Linked DNA regions of Drosophila melanogaster. The protein of the gene in region 4 interacts with the protein of the main gene of each other region in a pairwise test. Each region holds a gene or a part of one and is shown on either strand. Other genes may lie near its edges.

The links.
Region 1: the proteins of Fip1 (region 4) and Neto interact in a two-hybrid assay, tested with the Drosophila melanogaster proteins (one large-scale study listed by BioGRID).
Region 2: the proteins of Fip1 (region 4) and CG13871 interact in a two-hybrid assay, tested with the Drosophila melanogaster proteins (one large-scale study listed by BioGRID).
Region 3: the proteins of Fip1 (region 4) and fest interact in a two-hybrid assay, tested with the Drosophila melanogaster proteins (one large-scale study listed by BioGRID).

The regions. Positions count from the first base shown.
Region 1 is NC_004354.4:13,444,020-13,448,902, reverse strand, and holds the start of Neto (neuropilin and tolloid-like), read right to left. Parts: upstream 3,001-4,883; 5' UTR 2,626-3,000; intron 1-2,625.
Region 2 is NT_033778.4:20,315,387-20,319,558, reverse strand, and holds CG13871 (uncharacterized protein), read right to left. Parts: upstream 2,237-4,172; 5' UTR 2,152-2,236; coding exon 589-2,151; 3' UTR 520-588; downstream 1-519.
Region 3 is NT_033778.4:19,340,055-19,346,307, reverse strand, and holds fest (wurstfest), read right to left. Parts: upstream 4,500-6,253; 5' UTR 4,225-4,499; coding exon 3,937-4,224; intron 3,741-3,936; coding exon 3,357-3,740; intron 3,296-3,356; coding exon 3,117-3,295; intron 3,055-3,116; coding exon 2,878-3,054; intron 2,744-2,877; coding exon 2,597-2,743; intron 2,527-2,596; coding exon 2,263-2,526; intron 2,085-2,262; coding exon 1,982-2,084; 3' UTR 554-1,981; downstream 1-553. Other genes in the region: Rgk1 (Rad, Gem/Kir family member 1), read left to right, coding at 211-255.
Region 4 is NT_033777.3:4,483,138-4,488,205, reverse strand, and holds Fip1 (factor interacting with poly(A) polymerase 1), read right to left. Parts: upstream 3,199-5,068; 5' UTR 3,101-3,198; coding exon 1,675-3,100; intron 1,611-1,674; coding exon 1,518-1,610; intron 1,386-1,517; coding exon 1,315-1,385; intron 1,259-1,314; coding exon 743-1,258; 3' UTR 529-742; downstream 1-528. Other genes in the region: sac (sterile affecting ciliogenesis), read right to left, coding at 4,148-5,068.

The DNA.
Region 1 (4,883 bases), on a different chromosome or scaffold from region 4:
GCTTTTCTGCTCTTTTTCCGTTCTGATTAGTTGTATGCCATTGCGTTTTCCAACCACCCAAGTCCAGCTGCAATTAGTTTCACATTCCACGGGAAATTGCTGCGAAAATCGCCGCACAATGCAAAAAGGCTTTAAGATCAGACTTTTTTGCGGCCAAAAATAATACGGGGAAAGAAATGAAAACACTGTGGACAGACACAAATAATAAATAAGAAGAAATCCCAGCAAATGAGAGAGGACCTGTTGCTCGGGACACAAAGGAAATGGGTGGTCAAAGGAGGCGGAAAGCAGTTAAGCTAACCGAAATCGCCAAAGGAAGTTTGGGCTTAACTGTAAAAACTTTTGGCTTAATTTTATTGAAATAAATGGTTACAAAAATTGAACAAAATTTAATCTCAGCACAGCTGCAGAGAGATAAAACTAAATGGAGTCCAATGTGGAAAAACTAGAAGGGAAATTACAACATGGCTAAGAAAATTAAAAGGATCACAAAAACGAAATGGTTGAATTAAAATCAATGGAGAAAATCTGAACAACAATATAATCACACTCAGAAAATACGGAGTACAAATAAATATTGCTATTAAACATTGATTTGTAATTGTTGAATGCTGGATACATTCTTCTTGAACAAAATAAGAATACACAGAAGAAGAAAATAATATGATTTAAGCTTTCTTTTGGAGTAAGAACTCATCCTTTACTTTAGTCCTTAAAAGGCAGGAATAATCCTTTTCCCTATTTGACCAGCTGGTCAACATGCCATTAATTACCATCGAAGTTTCCCTTCAAAAATAAAAAAAACCCTCGTGAATAAAAGTTTACCACAAAAATTTTGTTTGCCTCGCCCAAATTTATGAGGGCAACATGCTGAAAAAATTTAAGAAAACCGAAATGGGAGCAGCAAAAATGAATGGAAAATGAGAAGAAAAACTAAGAAATCGACGAGGGCGCTGAAAGTGCGTGTATAAGATAGCCTTGAGCCACATATGTGGGAATGGGATATAGAAGAGCGACAGACGAGATGAACATAATGCAAAACTTTGTCAGCCACCGATAGAGAGAGATGGCTGCACAGCATGCGAAAGAGATGGGACGATTGGAAGTCTAGTGAATTCATTGAGACGGCAACAAAACAGAGAAAACACTGGGAAATTAAGTTAATGGACAATTAACAACCAACACAATACCCCGTAAACAATTAATTTATTCAATCTACTAATGCAATAAATAAAGATTGCATTCAGTTTTGCAAGCCCAAATGATTATTATTGTTTTGCGGAGTATATTTTTATTTAACCTAATAGCATAGTTCATCAATCCCTAATCCATACACTGCGTATTCGCGAGGGTATTTAAAGAAAAGCCGATGGAAAACCTTCGTCAAAGTTGGCGCTAACGGAATTGTTGTAGTTGTAGCTTGGAAAATCTTCTTCAATAACAGCAGCAACAACACAAAATACCCATTACGCATATGTAATAATTTTTATTTTCATTTTTTTCCGAATTTTCTTCTGTTTTTTCTTTCTCTTCGTGTGATCACAGCTGTGCCGTGGACAAGGAAAAGCGGGAAAACGAAAGGGAAAATTGGTGAGAGAAGTGGGAAAGCCTGATGGCAGCCGTTTAATTTTTGCTCTTGTTTTTGTTGCTGTCTTTTATTAATGAATTTCTCTCATTTTTCACCAATTCTCTATAGCCTCTGCGTTCGTGTCTTTGGTTTTTATACAATTTTCCCCTCTTCGCTTACTCGTTCTGCTCTTGTTTTTTTACTATTTGGGCTATGTCTAAAAATATGTCCGCCAATTCGCTAAGTGGCCCCAAACTTATCTATACGGGATACATAGAAAATACGGTCGAAGTTTCCAAACGAATGCGACAAAATAGTTTAAATTAAACATTCATTCGAAATCTTTCAACATATATTGTAGCTTATATGAGATAAATAATAAAAACAACAAAAAATCGAACACTTTTCAAAATGTTTAGAAATGTTTAATCGCAAGTATATTCGATCTAAAACTGCTGAACAAATTAACAATTAATAATATGTATAAATATATCCCAAGACGCATTAAAATAAAATCAAAGACTTAAAGCGCACTAATAAAAAAGAAAAACTCATTTAAGTGGGCACTTACTAGGAAATTACTAGAGATTATTTTAATATTGCTTTAGAATCCGCATAATGGACGCCTTCTGTGCAAAAGGAATTTTTATGACACATCCACTTTTTGCCTTTTCATTTCCATTTTGTTGGCTAAAACCGAACAACTTTTACAACTACAGGCTAAAAGAGACTAATGTGCCCTCTGGATCATTGAAGCTTGATTTATGCAAATTTCATTCAGCTACCACAGCCATAATGCCTTGATTTGATTAATATATTCGCAAACATATTTATTGCCTATTATGCGGAATGCAGCAGTATACGTATTTATTTTATAATTGTTATCCTTTGCAACTTAATATTGTCACTAGCCCACTAATTAATTGGTAAATATCGGCAAATAGATTTGTTATTTTAAGAAAACACGGAAATATAATTTGTTTACATTGCAAAGCTGCCATCTAATATATATATGTATATGTGCATATGTTTAATTTATATATATATGTATATATTACTATTTGCGTGTTGTCGCCTCCTTTGGCTGCGTTGCGAAATGTTGTTTTTATTTGTTTTTGTTGCCGCTGCGCTCCGCGAAAATATCTCAATTTTTGGCGCGCATTTTTCAAGCCGGCAAGCTTTTCACACACACACACTTTCACACTGGCACTGTCACTGTCACACAAACAACCAAACAAAAAAATTTGTATTTCTTTTGAACAAAAGCAAAACCTTAAGATTTTAAAATCGTATCTCTGGTGCTTGTCTATTAGCAACCAATCGCGATGTTTTTTTTTTTTTGGTAGTGAAACGTTAATATCGAATGTGCTGTCACCGGAGAAAGCGAACCGCGCCGCGTGTCCGTACACGTGGCCAACTCGACGTAGACTGGGCGTATACGTAATGCCGGAATTTGTGGCTCTGCTGCATCGAGTCTGCCGCTCGACTGTTGCCGCTGCCACGGCGGATGCTGCCACTGCTGTTGTCGACCCGCCAGTGCTGCTTACTTAGCCGGCTTTCCCGACAACTCTGGCTAGTTTTTCCAGCCGCTCACTGTCTTATTCTTTTCTATCAACCAAAAAGAATTGTATTCGTATTTATTACTTTATTATGTTACTACCTAAAATTGATTGAGTTGTTTGCCCAATATCTATAGAAGTTTTTTTTTTAATACTAACAATCATTAACATAATAAAACAAACTAATTGGATTCCACTTGTTAAAAAAAAAAATACGTATTAATAAAAATATCTAATTTTAGAAGAATATCACACCATAAAATAAAATACTTGCGAGAATCTAGCAATTTTTGTCCATTTCCCACGCTTAAAAATTAATTTCCCGAAAAGAAATTTAAAAATTATAAGCTGATATGTATTATCTTATTTTTCTAGCCTCTCAAATTGACAGTACTATTTATGACGGATCTTAGCTTTTAATTATTTCTTTTAAACAAAAATTGTTTCCTATTAGATTTACGGATGTGAATATGAAAACTGACAGTGATCTATAATATCTTGCTTTTCTATAGAGATTAAGAAATAAAAACTTAATAAAAATAAATTATGGGAAACGTCTGCTCGATATCCAGATGCATTTCTTAACATCAACATATTTTCGCCGCCCACTTTCAAGCTCATTTTAGTATATACATTTTGATATGGTAAAGAGCCAAAAAATAGTGCGATTTATTTTAAAACTTAAACTCATTTTATCACAACATTTCACCAAAACGTTAAACAATGATGCAAGTATACGGGTTTCATGCGAACCTTAAGAAATTGGAAAATAATTATTTTCAGCTTTTTTTCCCCCCCAAAATATTTGGCATCTCTGAGGATGCTCCACAAACGCTCAATGTCGAGTGAGTGGGAATACGAGGCGATGGCCGAAAGCAGCCGAAGTGCGTTCGTTTGTGGCACAAAATTTCACTCGAAACGGAATTTCCCATTGTTCGAGTGCGAGTGAGATGGGAGTGAGCGGGAATTTTGAGTGAGTTGTAGGTTTTTTACTCATTTCCGCTGGCACTTCCGACGTCGTCCTGGGCCAAGGAAGTTGTAGCCACGCTGACAAGGACAACAAAGTCTGTCTTCATTTTTTGTTCGGCTTCTTCGCAAAATATTTTATTTTATTTGCTTTGGTTATATTTTGCTTTCTTTGTGTTTTTGTTGTTATTCTCTTCTTTTTTTTCGTTTTTTTTTTTTTGGTGAAATGTCAAATGACATGCCTGGATCACAGACTGTGGAAACTGTTGTGAATGTGGTTTTCTTAAAGCCTCAAGCGATTTGATATTTCCTTTGCGATTCGTTTGCATACATTGTACGAAATGTGTGCGAAATAAAAAAAAAAAACGACTTCTGTGGTCTCTTAAAAACTACATTCCCTTCATTACAACATATTTTTAATAACTTGAGATCCCGCAGATTACGTGAAGTTTCTCCAGACACTCTTAATTGCCTTTATATTAGCTTTCGAAGCGTTGCTATGACAGAACGCGTTAAACACCTCAAATAAAAGTAGAAGCCTATCATCTAATACTCTCTCAAATTAACCAATTTTAAAATCTATGTCATTGCTCGAGCTGCTTAAATTAAATTGATTATTAAGCTGATGGAAACCTTAAAGTATAACCAACAATCTGATGTTTATTATTGCAAAAACATATAAAATTTCCAATTGTAGGTTGTAGTTACGCTTACTTGATAACCTGATTAAGTTTTAAACGAAAGGCAAACCAAAAGAGAAGTTGTCATTATTTTCATTACCTCTCCCAAGC
Region 2 (4,172 bases), on a different chromosome or scaffold from region 4:
ATTCTTTCAGTGTGCACAATAAAATTGGCAAACACAGGGCTAGAAAAATAAGACGGACAAGGGGCAAAAAATAAAGAGAATAGAGACGAGAAAGAGATGGACGAAAGCGGCGGCGCAGACGCAGAATTAAATTATTTTGATCTATATTTTAGAATTTGATTTCGTTTGTGCAAATACAAAGAATGTGTCGTAATGCGATATTGTGAGTTTTCTGTCCTTACCAAACTATTAAACAATTAATAAAAATCGAGTCTCAGCAAGATATGCACTGCAAACTGCATAAATGAGACTATTGGGGTTTTCCTGAGAAATGAATATTCCGATGATCCCGAACGAAGTTCCTTTTAACACAACAATACGGGAGTTCATTCTCGCTTGACGTTTCTAAAATTTTCGGCGCCTTCTAGTGAGACCGTGGGCTGGATGTCAAAAAATACGTCAAGTGGCATATAAATACGAAAAGCTATAAGCAAGCACTGTCTTAGGGTTAACGTATTGGCGCCAAAATTCAAACTTCTTATTTTTAAAATATATTTAAGTGTTGAATAAATGTTTCAATAAAACTCTGTTAATATTTATACAAATGACTTAATAAAAAACTCCTGCAATGGGTAGCTTTTTAGTCTGTGTCTGCTTTTCCATAGCGTACAACTTGTGTTTTTTCTTCTTTCTTGGTCTCAATTCAAATGTATTGCCTGGATGCAGTTCATCATCGCTTGTGCCCTCCAATTGAACAGCATTCATTTGTGCTCGCGGCGACGAGCTAAGAGAATCCTTTCTGGGAAAGGAGGACATTGGCTTGACTACCACGCTCAAGGCTTCCAGATTGATACGTCTGTTGTCGTCGGAGGTTTCTGGTTCCAAAGGAGTAAAAGGCTCCATGGAATTTATGGACTTCAGTGGCTTTCGAGGCTCCTGAAAAGGTTCCAGGCGTGCAGCAGCCGCCGGAGCAACCTCAAACCTCTTTGGCTTCATTGGCCTCCTTAGCTTCATCTGCTGCTGGTGCTCCTCCCACACCCGATCCTGCAGTTTCAACTCCTCCTCCTTGGCCACTGCCAAGTCGTACAAGCTCTCTTTTTGGCTCGCTGGTCGAATTCCAAAGGAAAATACCCTGGATGGTGGCCTTGGCTCGGGTTTTTCGATACGTTCAGACGTCTTTGTTGTTGGTTCTTTCTCTTTAACGTGGTTCTCCGATACATCGTCGTCCGTTGAGTGACTTAGCAGTTCCAATTCCAGGTAGTTGAGATTCTTGAGCACCGATAGGGCATGCTGCTTGGTGGCCAAAATGATTTCCAGCAGCACCTTGGCACCTCCTAGCTTTTGAGATTTCGTCGATATGGGGCACTTATTACTGGGCTTAATCCTTTGAGCAGATGGCTTTCGCGTCGTTGGTGGACGCGAAGGTGCGGAAGGCGGAGGACGAGGTGTTGGTGGAGATGTGGGAAGCGGCTTGAGCGGAGGATCGGATGAGGGTTCCGGAAGGCAGAAAGTGGTGGGACTGCGCGTTGTGGTACTAAGGGTCGTCCGATGAGTCGTAGGGCTTCTTGTGGTGAACCCGTGGGATCGAGCCGTGGTGCCACGACAAGGCCCAGACTTCCTGGGCTGATCGACCTTGGAGCTAATGACCTTGGCCAGCAAATTGGCTGTTGCCACAGCTGGTTTTCCATCCAGCTGCTGGTCGTTTAAGTAGCCACCCAGCACCCTCTTGAGCTCACGATCGGACTTACGCTCATTCAAATGCTCATTGAAGTTCATCCTGGCCAGGGACTCGAAGGGATCATCCACATCCTCCTTACCCAGACAATCATCGTGCATTCCCTGTCCAATGGCGCCGTCATCAATCGGAAATTTGTACAAGTTATCTTTGAGCATCTGGGCGGCAACATTCGTGGGACCAACCAGATAGTGTTCCGATTTCACCTTGCCAGCAGCAGCCATTTTTTCTGGAATTCCCAATTTCTGCTCCATGTCGTCCAGCCGCTGGAAGAGCAGTTCCGGATCGGAGAAGTATCGCTGCTCCGAAGGCGCCAAGTCCCTTCGCTCGCTGCCGAACGGCCGCCTGGGCCACGAGGTATCCGCATATGAGTACCTGCGTACTGATCTTCCTTCGGATCGGTCGGTCGCTTGTCCAACGCTCGCCAGGATTGCCATTGCCAGTAATGAAAGTCGGACTGCGCTGTGGCTCAAAATCCGCGTTGACATTGTTCTCATAAGCACAACATCTTGCTGGAATTATCGCCGAGTCATGTTTGTAAAATTCCTTATATTCGAAATCAGTTCCATGACATGTTATGCTCATTGGTTGTTTTTATGTTTAAATAATTTTTTAAAAATCTTCTATAATTAAAGCGAAGAATTCTAAAAAAAAAAGTATACATTAAAAGTGAATTGGTAGATTATTTGCCCAAAGAACTCAAGTGGTCAAGTAGAGTTTAAATGGTAGTAAATAATCTTTTTAATATTTTGTTGAAAGAAGGCAGTCATATTTTTCTTGCTCAACAAAGGACGACGTCAGGTCGAACTTCTAAGGACACGGAGAAGGCTTGTTCAAGCAACAAAGCATAACGGGAATCAGTGGTTGGAAGGTTACTGGAAATCGGACTGGAAAGTGGAAATGCTGTGCTCATTCAGTTCGTAAGCCACAGTCGAGTTTTTCACGTCCAACTGTGCAGCACATCCTCGAAATAAATGGACATATTAAATACAAACTAAATTATAATAAATTGTGAAGTTAAGCGAAAAACAGAGATTTCCCATATCTCCCTGAAAGTTTTGTGTCATAGGCGTGTTTTCAAGAGTTTGCGAACTCATCGTTAAATGACACTCAAACGCAAAAGGCACAAAAACTAAACGCTAAACGGGGTCCGAAATCCTTAGTTAATGCCTTAAATACAAGCGGAAACCAAGTGTTGCGAAACCAAGTGCAATGACTGTCCTCAATATGCACGCCAAAATGATAATATTGATTTTATTTTTCTACAACGGTTCCTACAACTGGAGTAAAAAGCAGTAAGAGGCTCCTGGCTTCCACGCATTTCCTGCGGCAGGCGGCGTTTCATTTCATGTGTGTGCCGTCCTGCGATTGATAATACTCCCAATTATAATAAGGTAATGGGCTCCTGGCTTCTGTTTCCTGGCATCTCCAACTCCCTCTATTGATTTTGCCACTTGGCCAAATGACTGCGGTAACCAGGCAATTTGAGCCAAAAAGCAACACCAACGGGGAGCAGACAACAAAGAAATTGTCAATAAAAGTGCGCAAGAGCAGGGCATCCCCAACGCGACAGTGGCGTCCCGGAATATAAGGCCCAGTTAACAACTAGTAATATTTCAATAAATGAATGATTTCTTTTGTAAAAAAAGAAGAAGAAAACACAAATATTTGGAAAAAAAAAGTACACAAAGCCTAGTGCTCTTTTCTAGAATTAATGTTTATGAATTTAATATAAACATTTATTGCAGTCATTTTGTCAAGGTAGTTTCTTTAGACAAAGCTATATATTAACTTTATATTTATTTATCTTAACTTGTTATCATAAGTAATATTTAAGTCAGGACATCGAGTATACACATTTGAACGCCCTGGAGTGTTGGGCTCTGTGTTCTCGTTCCTCCTTCCAGGACTTCCAGCCTCTGTTCCGTGTGGAATGTGCATAGCCTTCCAGCGCCTGCGCCCTGGTGTCCTGTTGTTTTGATAGTAAAAAGGACATGGCAGTGCAGTTGTTTACAAACACGCACGCCAGACACGCGACACGTGGCGCAGGGAAGTTTCTGGAAGGCATATCGGGTCATGGATGTTGCTGGTTGATAGTGGGAGTGAGGAACACCGAATCTCGAGCGGATCCCATATATTACGCCCATTCCAAAGGCCGGCCGGCTGGGACGACTGGGCCGACTGGGCCGACGTGGCGGATGAGCGATGTCTGCCAACGGTGACGTCATAGTGGGCCAGCGACATTGAACTAGTTTCATCAGCACACCGCTCACATTTCACCAGTGACGTCAATGGAGAAAGCCGCACGTATTAAGCCAATAAGGCTTAAGTCAGCTCGACCTCCGAACTTTGTCTTCCGATCCAATAAAAAACACAACTCATCCAATAACATTGGCGACCAATTGTTATTGGCCTGCCTCGTAAATCGTCTGCCACAACAGCCCTGAGCTTCTTTTGC
Region 3 (6,253 bases), on a different chromosome or scaffold from region 4:
CTGCCCATGCTCACCGCCTCGCTTACGCTCACCCGCCATTTCTCTCTGTGTACCCGCTAACCATGGAACCACTTTCTTCCTATGACAGAGTCAGCCGTGGCATATAGTTCCGCCCCAGCATTATCCACTAATCTCTATCAACAGCCACTGCCAACGGGCCGCTCCTCCGGCTCCAACTCCAGGTTAAGTCTGTTGGAGAGCTTGGTCTGCATGACTGCCGATCCCATATCGTTGTGCTTTTGGATTTGTTTGCAGGTAAACATGAAGACCTCTCATCTTTTATAATATTTGTATATGAAAACCTTTTTTGGCAAACATTCAATTACTTTTAAACGTGCAATTCATTCCTTTAAATATTTACATAGCTCGCAAACTCTTTAAGCCCGAAAAGATTTCAAGTCCTGATGGCCCTTCAGGTGCCACAACTCCTCCAACAGGGTTGTAATGTGAATTGTAGTCGTTAAGCAATTTTCTTGTACTTTTACAATGCCAGAGGAAAGGTATGAGGTCATATATGGTTGCCAGGAGCCGCTGAAAATTGTATCTCGATCCAGATTTAACCCATGAGAATTAACAAAATTATACGAATCTATTACAGTAGCGCAGATAGAATTTACTTTATTCAGGACTTTCATGTATTACTTTTTGACATCGATTTTTGTGCACATAAATTTCGATATACATGAGGATTAAATTTAGAGTTTTGAAGATTGTTGTTGTAAGGCTACACAGGTATAATTGCAAGGCGTTTCACTTTTTTTTTTTTAAGGAATGGTGTTTAAAAGTGTGCACGTGTTTTAACTTTGTTTTCAAAGACGACTGCCTTTTTCAGATAAGCGTTTGTTTCGTAAGCTAATTAATTGTATTCCATTTCAGTCACAATTTCTCACTTTGGCCTGTCGTGTGTGTGTGTGTGTGTGTGTGCTTGTGCATGTGTGCGTGTATCTGTATTCCACGAGTGTGGTAGTGGTACTATTCCGTCTACACTTGGAAATTTAAGCACTAAGTCCACTCATTTTACATTTTACGCAACGTTTGCGCTGTAGAGTGTGTGTGTGTTGTGTGAGGATGAACATGGTTGGATTGTAGTAACTTAACTAATCTTAACTGGTAACTTAGAACTAACTGAATTGTCACTGGTGTTACGTTGGCCAAAGCAGCCGTCGTTTGTTAGCTAATTTTTTATCATGCAGAGGCTAATTTTGATATCAGCGATTTTATCAATTTTTGCTTATTTTTTTTTTTTTGTGGAAATTTTGCAACTTTCGATTTTCAATCTTGCTGAATTTGTTGCATTTCAAGTACGTGTCGAACGTTTAAAAAATCGTTGGAAACTTAATTTTGCTATACTGTGAGGGCCGAAAAGAAGCGAAACGCGAACCAAGTTCATTCTTTTTATAACACCAAACGCTGGCCCTGATCGAAATAGCATTGTCTTGGCCAGCGTTTCAGGCAACAGGTGGATTTTCCAGAGCCTATTCCACCTGAATTGCCTGTACTAAATAACGGTATGCGTATAAAAACAAGGATATCGAGGGCTAGAGAGATTGTAAGTGTGATTATCTAAAACTAATTCCCTAGTGTTTGCGTTGCGCCTACGTCGAGCAATCGAAAAGCAATCCTTCAAGGATCAGGATCGCCAGTTTTCGTTGCTCGCGCATTTTTTCGAGCTGTTTCATCTTAAATGCAGTTATACATTTATAATTTTTTTTGTTTAGAAGACCAGGTTTTCTTAAATGATCTGATCCCTCTCCACGCCGAGGCCCCAGTTTTCCAATGTTGTTTTGTTTGGATTTTTTGATTTTTTTTTTTGGGGGGGTCACTATATCGACGCTTGAGTCGGTTTGCGTGTGTGTGTTTTCTGTGATGTGTGTGTGGTGGTGGTATAATGGGGTGATTTTCGATTGCCCACGCTGGGTGGCTATAGGTGGCATTTGGATGGCCACCCAACGCGATGCACATCCCATGGTGCGAGCGGTACTTAGTAGACAATGAGCAGGTTGTTTTCATTGAATCCAGCCGAGTGACCAGCATTGCGTACAATGAAACAGGATCCGTCGAAGTGCATGCGCTTCTCATTACGACTGCAAAAAAAAAAAGAACAAAAGGAATCTTCAAATATCCGATTAACTGAATTACTGCAAAAGTATGGAATCAATTAAACACTATCAGTGTTATAATCGAATAAATATACGACGAGAACAATGCATTCTTCGAGTGCATCATTATTGCAAATAGGTGTGGATGCAGTGGCCAACTCACCGGACGAACAGGTGCGAGGTCTTGCCCAACGAAGCCGTGCAGTGGATGCCGGTGGTGGTCAGGGTGGCGGATCCATTGCCCGGACTGGTGCGAATCAGGCACTTGCTGTGCTGGCGGCTGACCTTGACCAGGCCGTCGGCCGCCTGGGTGATGCGGAATCCATTGATGTCATACACCTCGGTGCCGTCCTCGGCGCAATTGTAGGTGGAGTTGGCGATTACGTCGTGGGCATCGGACACAAAGGATGGGCCGTGGCGCGAATCGCTGGAGGGTGTTGTTAATTGGAAAGAGGAGCTTGGCGAATTGATTTGGGCAAATTTCGTGCTTAACTCACTCATAGAACACCGCCAAGGTGTAGTCCTTGGTCAGGTCGGTGAAGGTATCGGTGGTGGTGCGAGTGCCAGCTGTGTCCACCAGATAGATGAGGGCACAGGACTCGCTGGTGAAGCTAACGCCCTTGTACCACATTTTGGCATAGCGACTGGAAGAAAATGATTGCAGCTATAGTTGCATAGATTTTATACGAAAATCTAATGAGAAGTACAAGTTTAAATTCCAAAATACTAGTTGTTTGCCACTCTTAAAGTAAAGGTTCGATTCTACTTCTAAGCTTACACAAAGTTGTTGGCCTTCATTCCGTCGTAGGTGACGATCTCCACCTTGGAGCCGCTCTGCAAGATGCGCCCATTGGGATGGATGAGGGCAGAGTTGCTGCAGTTGCGCGATAAGGCGGCGGCAACCATGCTGCGCTGATTCAGCACACGGACAGCCTTGTCCAGGGTCATGTCAATGCTGGAATCGGGAATGATTTGGAATGATGATCAAGGGATAAATCTCCTACCACGTTCACTTACCGAACGCCCTCGCGCAGGCGCAACTGGATGGTGCCATTGGACATGGCAATCGGTCCAGATCCTGGACACGGTGGTGGTGTGTTGTTCTCGAACTCAAAAGTGCGCGAGCTGACGCGATCCATAGCAAAAGGTGGTGGTGGCATTGGCGATGGGAACTGCTGGGTGTGATGTGCCTGTGGCTAGGTAGATATCGCATATTTCTAAAATACGAAACACGGGGCAATAAATCAAAGCACTTACCATGCAGTAGGCTCCATCCACCTCATAGCCATAGCCAGAGTTGAAGCGTCCCGTTAGACTCTTGCCGCTGCGCGTAATATTGCCGGCATCCATGTTCCAGCCCATGGTCTCGTAGCCGGCACCAGATTGCGGCAGGACTCCGAAGCCCGAGTGGGAAGATGCGTGCATGCCCATATTCATGTAGCTGCGGCCGCAGCTGTTTGTCTGGCTGGAGCACTCCTTGGCCAGGACGGAGGTGCTGGTGCCCACGCTGGCGCTGTTGCCCATGCTGCTGCTGCTGTTGCCGCGCTCCAAGCCGCGCTTCACTCCGCCAGTCAGCGAAAGGCTGCTCATACGTGGAGCCAATGGGCTGTTCATCGATGACACAAAGCGCATGGTGGCTTGCTAGGGATTGGTAAGGGAAAAGGTATCACATGGTACATCAAAGATCACTTGCAAAAAATGGGAAGAAAAGATGACTTGCAAAAAATGCTAAGAAAATATGACTTGCAAAAATGACTTGCAAAAATCAAAGAGACGATTTTTTGCATATGCCTTCAAAATGAAGGCAATCCTATGGAGAAGTGACAACTCTACTCACCGGCGATGGGTTGTTGTTGGTGAATACGGAACGCTGGCGCACACCATTTGGAGCCTTGGTGGGCGAGCGCAAGATGTTATTGATCTTGTCGTTCAACTGGGCGCGGGACAAGAAGTCCTCGGCATTGAAGATGCCAACGCGGCCGCTCTTGGGCGTGGCCAAGGGGGCGGGGCCCGGTAGAGCCAGCTCCTCGACATGGGGCTCATCCAGGGCGCCGGAGTGCTGGCACTGCACCTCCTTGGTGCTGCTGGTCTTAGGTGCAACGGTGTCCTGGGCGTCGGTAACCATTTTGTCAAGATTCGATTGTTCAAAATTTATGGGAAAACCGTATGGAATCGAATGGGTGATGGATGATGGTGTTGTTGTTCTTGGTTGAAACGGGGCCTGGACTTTGGTATGTGGATCTAAACGAGAACGGCACACGCGGCGTGCTGGACAGCGAAAATCAAAGTACTCTGCTCGACACGGAACACAACGACTCAATGAGAGGAATTTAATTTTTTACTTTTTATGACTTTTCAAGAGCACTGCTCGCTGCGACAATTTTCGAAAGAATGACTTGCCTCAAGTGCCGATGGAAGGATGTGCCATCAATTCTGACACTCACTGGCCTACCGGGTTTTTCGATAGTTGAAAGTGTCGTAATATCGAGTACACGATACTTTACTTTTCCCTTCGTCCCTTTGAAGCCCTGGCACTTTTAGATTTCCCGTGAAAGTTCAACGTATATCCGATTAGTGCTGCATACTTTTAGACGGCAAAAAGCTGATTGAATTCAAAATAACGCATTTAAGGACGACACTGTAGTGCAACCCATCTCCTCGCTTTTAGTGGCCGGAAAACGAAGTTTCGCCTTCGTAATTGAATCGAGAAATAGACTTGAACACACGCACAGCAGTGCAGCTTCCAGCAATTTATTGCCGCTCATTTGTATAGTTTCTACGCAGCTATAAGCTGCAGCAAAAGACTTAGGCTTTAAGATTTATTGGGAAACTGCATTTTCCGAACGGGAGAAAGTGCAAGAGAAAGTGCCGTCATTCTTATCGATGCTGGTTAAATGCTGAACAAGTGCGCAGAGTTGCAAAGTTTTGAAGCGTTGGCAGGAAATGTCAAGAGTCAGATAAAAGTGATGTTTGCACGTAGCACAGTTTAGTACTTTGCTAATAAAAAGCTATCCCCTTCTAAATTGTTGCTTTAACGTGGCTTAAATATGTTGTCAAAGTCAAACAATCACGCAATTTAAATGTATTATACATTCAACTGAAACTTTTAAATTGACATATTAAATAAGAACTGGCATTTAAAGTTTCTGCGAAATGTAAACTGCTCTTATAGAACTTTCCAGTCGAACAGCTACAAATTTTTGGATTATTTCTTAATGAATAAACACTAAAATCATAATATATTTTAGTAATAGCTGCTCAATCGTTTTTCTTGTCAGTTATTAGCCATTTTATTTGCCTGAATGTTGACATATTAGCCACAATTTTGGCAAACCCCCAAGGTCGTTTTATTTCCATTTTTGTGGGTTCACTAACTCACCTTCAGTGTGCAAAGTCCCTGAACTTCCGGAACTATTGTGTTTTTTGTATACGACTGTCAACTCTTTCCGCTCTCATGATTGATTTTGCCTCTTGATTTCAGTTTTTTCTTGCGCGGATTAGTTTGTTTAATGAGCGCATTGACTCCTTGCATTTGGCCATCGGCCCACGCAGATTTAGATTGACACTTTCGCCATCATATCTATTTAAATGGACGCGTTTATTTAGACACTTGGCTGGCATATTTTTTAAATTTTATTTTTGGCACTTGGTCGGATCATTAAAATTCAGCCACTGCAGCTGCAATTCCGCCCACGCATCGCATTGACTCAGTTTTGAGCAACACCAACTGAAAGTGAAAATGTGTAATATATTTATAGCAGGAATGCAATCGCATATGCATTCAATGAAATACGGAAACTCATTTGTAAAAATCACCCCGTCCACCGAAGTGATTTTTCCGTTGTCACTTTCGCCAGCCGCAAGTGAAACAAATTGGTTAACCTCCTTTTTCAGTATTTATCGTTAAAAATATTCGCAAATATTCAGACAGCTGAAAATTCAGATTTTCAGCGAGCGTCGTTGGAATAGTTTGCTAAATTTTGAATTCAAGTTGTAATTACGCTCGTTTTGTAAAGGCAAAGGCACATTTGATATGAAAACTAAAAGGAGAACATCAGCCAAATGAATAGAGAAAATTCGCTATTACTTGCCGAAGCTCGTTAAAATGTGGAAAACTATTTTCGCCTTCTGCAGTCAGTGAACTTTGGCGCAGA
Region 4 (5,068 bases):
ATCTAAAAAAAATTTTAAAAAAATTTCAATGATCAAGGCGAACTAATTAAATGCGTCTAAATACATTTGCCATCGCCCAAATCGTTGTCTGTCTAGCTTTCTTATCAGCAGAAGGATAATTGAAAAGGTAAACGGCAAAATATACCTCTCGCGTGTAACTTTAATTGCACTCCTTTTTATCATCAATACTTTACTATTTGTTTGGCTGTACCGTACTATTTTTTATTTTTGGTTGCTGTAATTTTCTAATTCGATTACTATATTATTGAATTTATAGTTTCTTCGTGATTTCATTATTTATGTTAATAACCCATTTTTAGTATTGAAAAATGCAAATAAGTGTCAATCCATCCCACGTCCCTCTCTTCGTTCGTATGAACGTCGAGATCTCGTTAATGGTGTTTTTCCATTTTTTCTGTGCCAACTATATTATATAGTGGGCCAATTTAATCCCAAAAATAAAAAGAAAAGGGTTGGGATGTTTTAATTTGAAAACAAACATCCATCGACTCGTCTGATGACACGGATCAAGAATACCACAAGAATACCACATGATCGCACATGTCACCTTTATTAAATTTAAGGGCTTATTCACATTGAATTATTGAAAACCTAACGTACATATATTTAAACTGACCAACGGCGTTATAAAACATTTAGTTTGATTTTTGTTTTTATTAATATGTTCTACAACTTAGTGGATTTCTTCTTGCTTCACTTCCATAAAGTACCTAACCAAATGCTAGTCGTCCTCTTCTTTGTCCTTGCGATGCGATTTTTTCTTTTCGCTACGACTGGAGGATCCTCCGGTATTGCTGCTGCTACTCTTGCTGCTTCGTTCGCTTCGATCTTTCTCACGGGACTTGGACTTGCGACGGCTGGACTTTTCGCGAGATCGAGAGCGCTCCCGACGGGAGCTCTCTTTATCCTTTTCCTTCTCCTTATCTTTGTCCTTATCCTTCTCTTTATCTTTTTCCTTATCCTTATCTTTATCTTTGTCCTTTTCTTTATCTTTATCCTTGTCCTTGTCACGAGACCGCTCTTTGTCGCGATGTCGTTCACGTTCCTTTAGGTCACGTTCCTTGCGCTTCTCTTCCTTCAGCAGGTGCAAATAGTCTTCGAAGTACTCCTCACGATAGGACGAGTCCAGGGCTCGGTACCTTGGATCCGCCTCAAACTTTTTCTTAATATCGTACCACCTGGTGTGCCTTTCGATGTCATGTCGCTCCCGCAGCATGTCAAGGAAGTCCTTTCTCAGCTGTACAAAAATGATAATTATAATTCCATGACTTGATATTTATGTATAAAACATACCTGATCTTTCTTCAACAGTTTTTCCTTCTCGCGCCTCCTGCGCTCACGATCGTCGTCGTAGGCGCCACGATCTGAAACGTATAGGAAAAAGGCATTTTCATAAAAAGGACTGCGTTAGGATCGTCAGATTAGCATTTAGCTTAACAAACAAATTGCAAGAATATGACGTAAGAGTAGCTTAATTATGTTAGTTGTGTTCTTACCGCCCATGGCCAATCTCTGTGGCGGTGCCATACCCATTCGCATCTGTGGCGGGGCATTTCCTCCCATCATCATTCCTGGTGGCGGTCCCATGTCTGCAAGAGAAAACATAGATAAGCCGGGTCCAGGACATGATAAATATAAATATGCTGAACGCACTCATATTTGGCGGCATGCGCATGTTGGGTGGCATAATGCCGCGCAAATTGGGTGGTGGACCGCCCATCTGCGGCGGTGGCACACTCATCCCAGGAGGCGGCATGCCAGGCGGAGGTTGTTGCATATGAGCATGACCAGGAGTAAGCTCTTTAATCCCGCTGGGTACCCATCCGGCATTGTCATTGTTCCACTGCGACTCTTGGGTGGGCTCATAGCCGTAGTCAAAGGGTTCTGGCTCGTGGAAGAAGGGTTCCTCAGAGGCGCCGGGTAGCGGGAAGTTTGGCGCCATGGGTCCCAATCCCCCACGAGAATACTCGCGGCACTCGGCGGTCATCACCTGAATGGCGTTCTCCTTAACGGCTCTCTCCCGGTCACCTCCCCTATCGCCGCCTGTGGTTGAGATGGGTCTTGGCGGGCGCTGCATCAATCCCATCCCGGATCGCGACTGGTGTTGCATCATAGGCGGCGGCATTCCCGGCGGGGGCATTTGCATGCCGCTTTCACCGCCCATTCCCACCATGGACTGGATACTGTGCATTCCGGGAGGGCCCATGCCCATACCGCCATCTGTGAGGATTCCAATGGGGGCATTCTGATTCACATTCTGAGTGAGGCTGGCCAGTCCGACACCACTCTCCGCCACGCGGAAGCGTTTCTGGCGCTCGCAATAGGCGCGCCACGTCTCTTCGTTAAAGCCATAGTTGAAGTAGTCGGTAATATCCGCTCCCGGCTTTCGCCACGGCTTCTCCTCAAGCGAATCGATACTGAACTCGTGCACGGCCACTCCGTTGATGGTGCCGGCACCTTCGAAGTCCTCGATGCTAAACTTCCCTGCCTGACCAGCCGGCTTGGCCTTGTCTCCGGCAGCACCAGTGCCTCCAGCCAGCAGGTTGGGTCGCTGCTTGATGTTGTAGGTGCTGGGGGCCTGTTTAATGTCTCCGATAACCACGTTGATATCGTCGTCAGAGTCGTCGTCTTCATCATCATCGGACCCTGAGCCGTTCCTTTCTCTCCTCGCGGCAGGACCATCGCTCATCTCGTCGTCCTCTGGGTCTGGCGATGATCGGGCGTCGGCCCTGTCCGCGCACCGACCACGATCCCGTTCTCGGTCGCGCTCCCTCCTGCTCCTGCTGTCCGTGTTGGGCAAGGCATCCTCGTCCTCCTCCATTTCCTGCGCGGGATCGTCGAACTCCGAGTACTCGGGCACCTCCTCCTTTGGACAGCGCGGCGAGTCTTCAGTGGAGTTAGTTCCGGCCGAAGCGCCCGGCTTTTCGCCGGCCACCAATTCGGCCAATGCCTGAGCCTCAGCCGCCGCCGACTCGTGCTCCGCCGTCAGAGAATCCCCGCCGTTGCCCAGCTCGCCGGTCGTCGAGTCAGGATTCGAGGTGCCATACAGCCAGCTGTCCTCATTTGTGTCATCTGCCATTGTAGTTTCTCAGAAATGCAGAAATAAGCAGCAGCTATTGCGATGGACAAAAATTTTACAAGAAACACAACGCAGCAGTGTGACCATTCCGATACATAAAAAAATTCCATAAATACTATAATAATACTGTTCTGTTTCAATAAAAATATCATTTTTTTAATAATTTTTTTATGTCTTATAAATAAATATTTCTTATTAAGGTCCAAACAACTTAAAAATTAAAAATAAATATGGTTTTTTTTTTAGAAGTATTTAAAGATTTGTACGATAGCACATATAGGAGTTTTTAGAGCAATATATTAAAACTTTTGTTAAACGGCTTCCGTTTCAGATACCCGCCAAATGGAGTAAGCGTCGTCGTATAACTTACACTACATACATATGTATGTAGCTTCCTTCCTCGCCAATATGCTTCGCAGATATAGATTCAAAGGAGATTTTGATTTTGTAACGGTTTGCCATGTAGTTGGTAGTGGTCTTAATAGAAGATTAAATGAAAAAGTCTATGGATATGGATTTTTAAGATAATCTTGATTACCAGTGTTTCAAAACTTGGGCGGGAACAGAAGAATTTCTTGTTTCAACAAGATGTGTTCAAATAATTTTTGTGAGGAAATGGCTCTTTTTTAATTCATTTGGAAAAATTCAATGTTCCTAATGGTTATGTTTTAATATTTGCTAATAATGTTAGTTCTCACTGTTATTTACAACATTTCTGTGTTCCAAGCAGATTCACTTGAAATTACATACCCCTAATCTTAAATCATTGTAGATCTAACCATGATTTGCATTAACCCTACTGTGACTATAATATGCTATGACTGTATAGCGGCTATTGATCCTGGTAAAAAGTATATATACTTTATATGGTCGTACATACATGCTTCCTTCCGCCTTTTATGACTACTTTAGTATAGCATTTTACTCTACGAATAAATGATATAAGAAGGACAACACAGAACACTATCCAAGACCCCGGTCGAGCCACGCCCTGAGCCTGCCCAGAAATGTTTCGGGCAGGAACTAACGAACGATTTCAACAACAAACTATAGTATATCCCGGCGACACTTGCGGAGCTGTTTGCGCAACAACATAGCATTCAATTCGGCCTGCTTTCGCCTCTCTTCTTCCTCGATGGCTCGCCGAATTTCCTCCGCCTCGTTGTTGGCCTTCTCCGAGATGATGTGGACTTCGGGCAGGACGTCCAAGATGCCCTTACGAATGAGGTACTGATAGTTCATCGCCACTGAGTACTTAATCTCCTGGCCAGTTATCGCGCTTAGTTCTTGCCAGTGAATGTACATCCAGTTCTCATTTCGGATATCCTTAATGCTGTTGTAAACTGGAACGAAATCGTCGATCTTTGCAATGAACGTTTTGGCCACATCCATGATCTCGACTTTTTCATGAAATATTTTCATTGACTCGTTGAGTTCGTCGCGAAGCCTCATCAAGTTATTCCACACATCTTCCAAGTCCAGTTGCGCTATCGGGTTGCCCAAGGTAGCGTCCTCGAGCTTCAGAAAGTTGGCGCAGCCGTACCACAGGTTCTTGTAGGGAGTGAAGCTAGCGATTATGCTCTCCAGGAACTCAACAGAGAGTGGCTCCAGCTCAAATAGCTCCTGCCGAAATTGCAGAGTTTGGCTGACCTTCTCGAGCTCCTTAATCAGAGCCCACGTCTTCTTAATGTCCACTGACGTCTCCTGTGCGCGGTTCGTGTTAAACGCCAGTGAGTAGGCCTGCACCTCGTCGTTGAGGGACTCCAGACGCTCCTCGAACGCTTGGCACTCGCTGGCGTGCAGGCGGAGAAAGTCCTCGATGTCCACCTTCTGCTCGTCCTTCAATGTCGATAATCGCACCATTATCTGGTGCGGCCATGCGTACACGTTCCACTTCATGGCGAACTGGTGGTCACTCAGGTTGTAAAAGAAGCTATCCAGCAGGTCGTACTCCAGCCACATGACCTG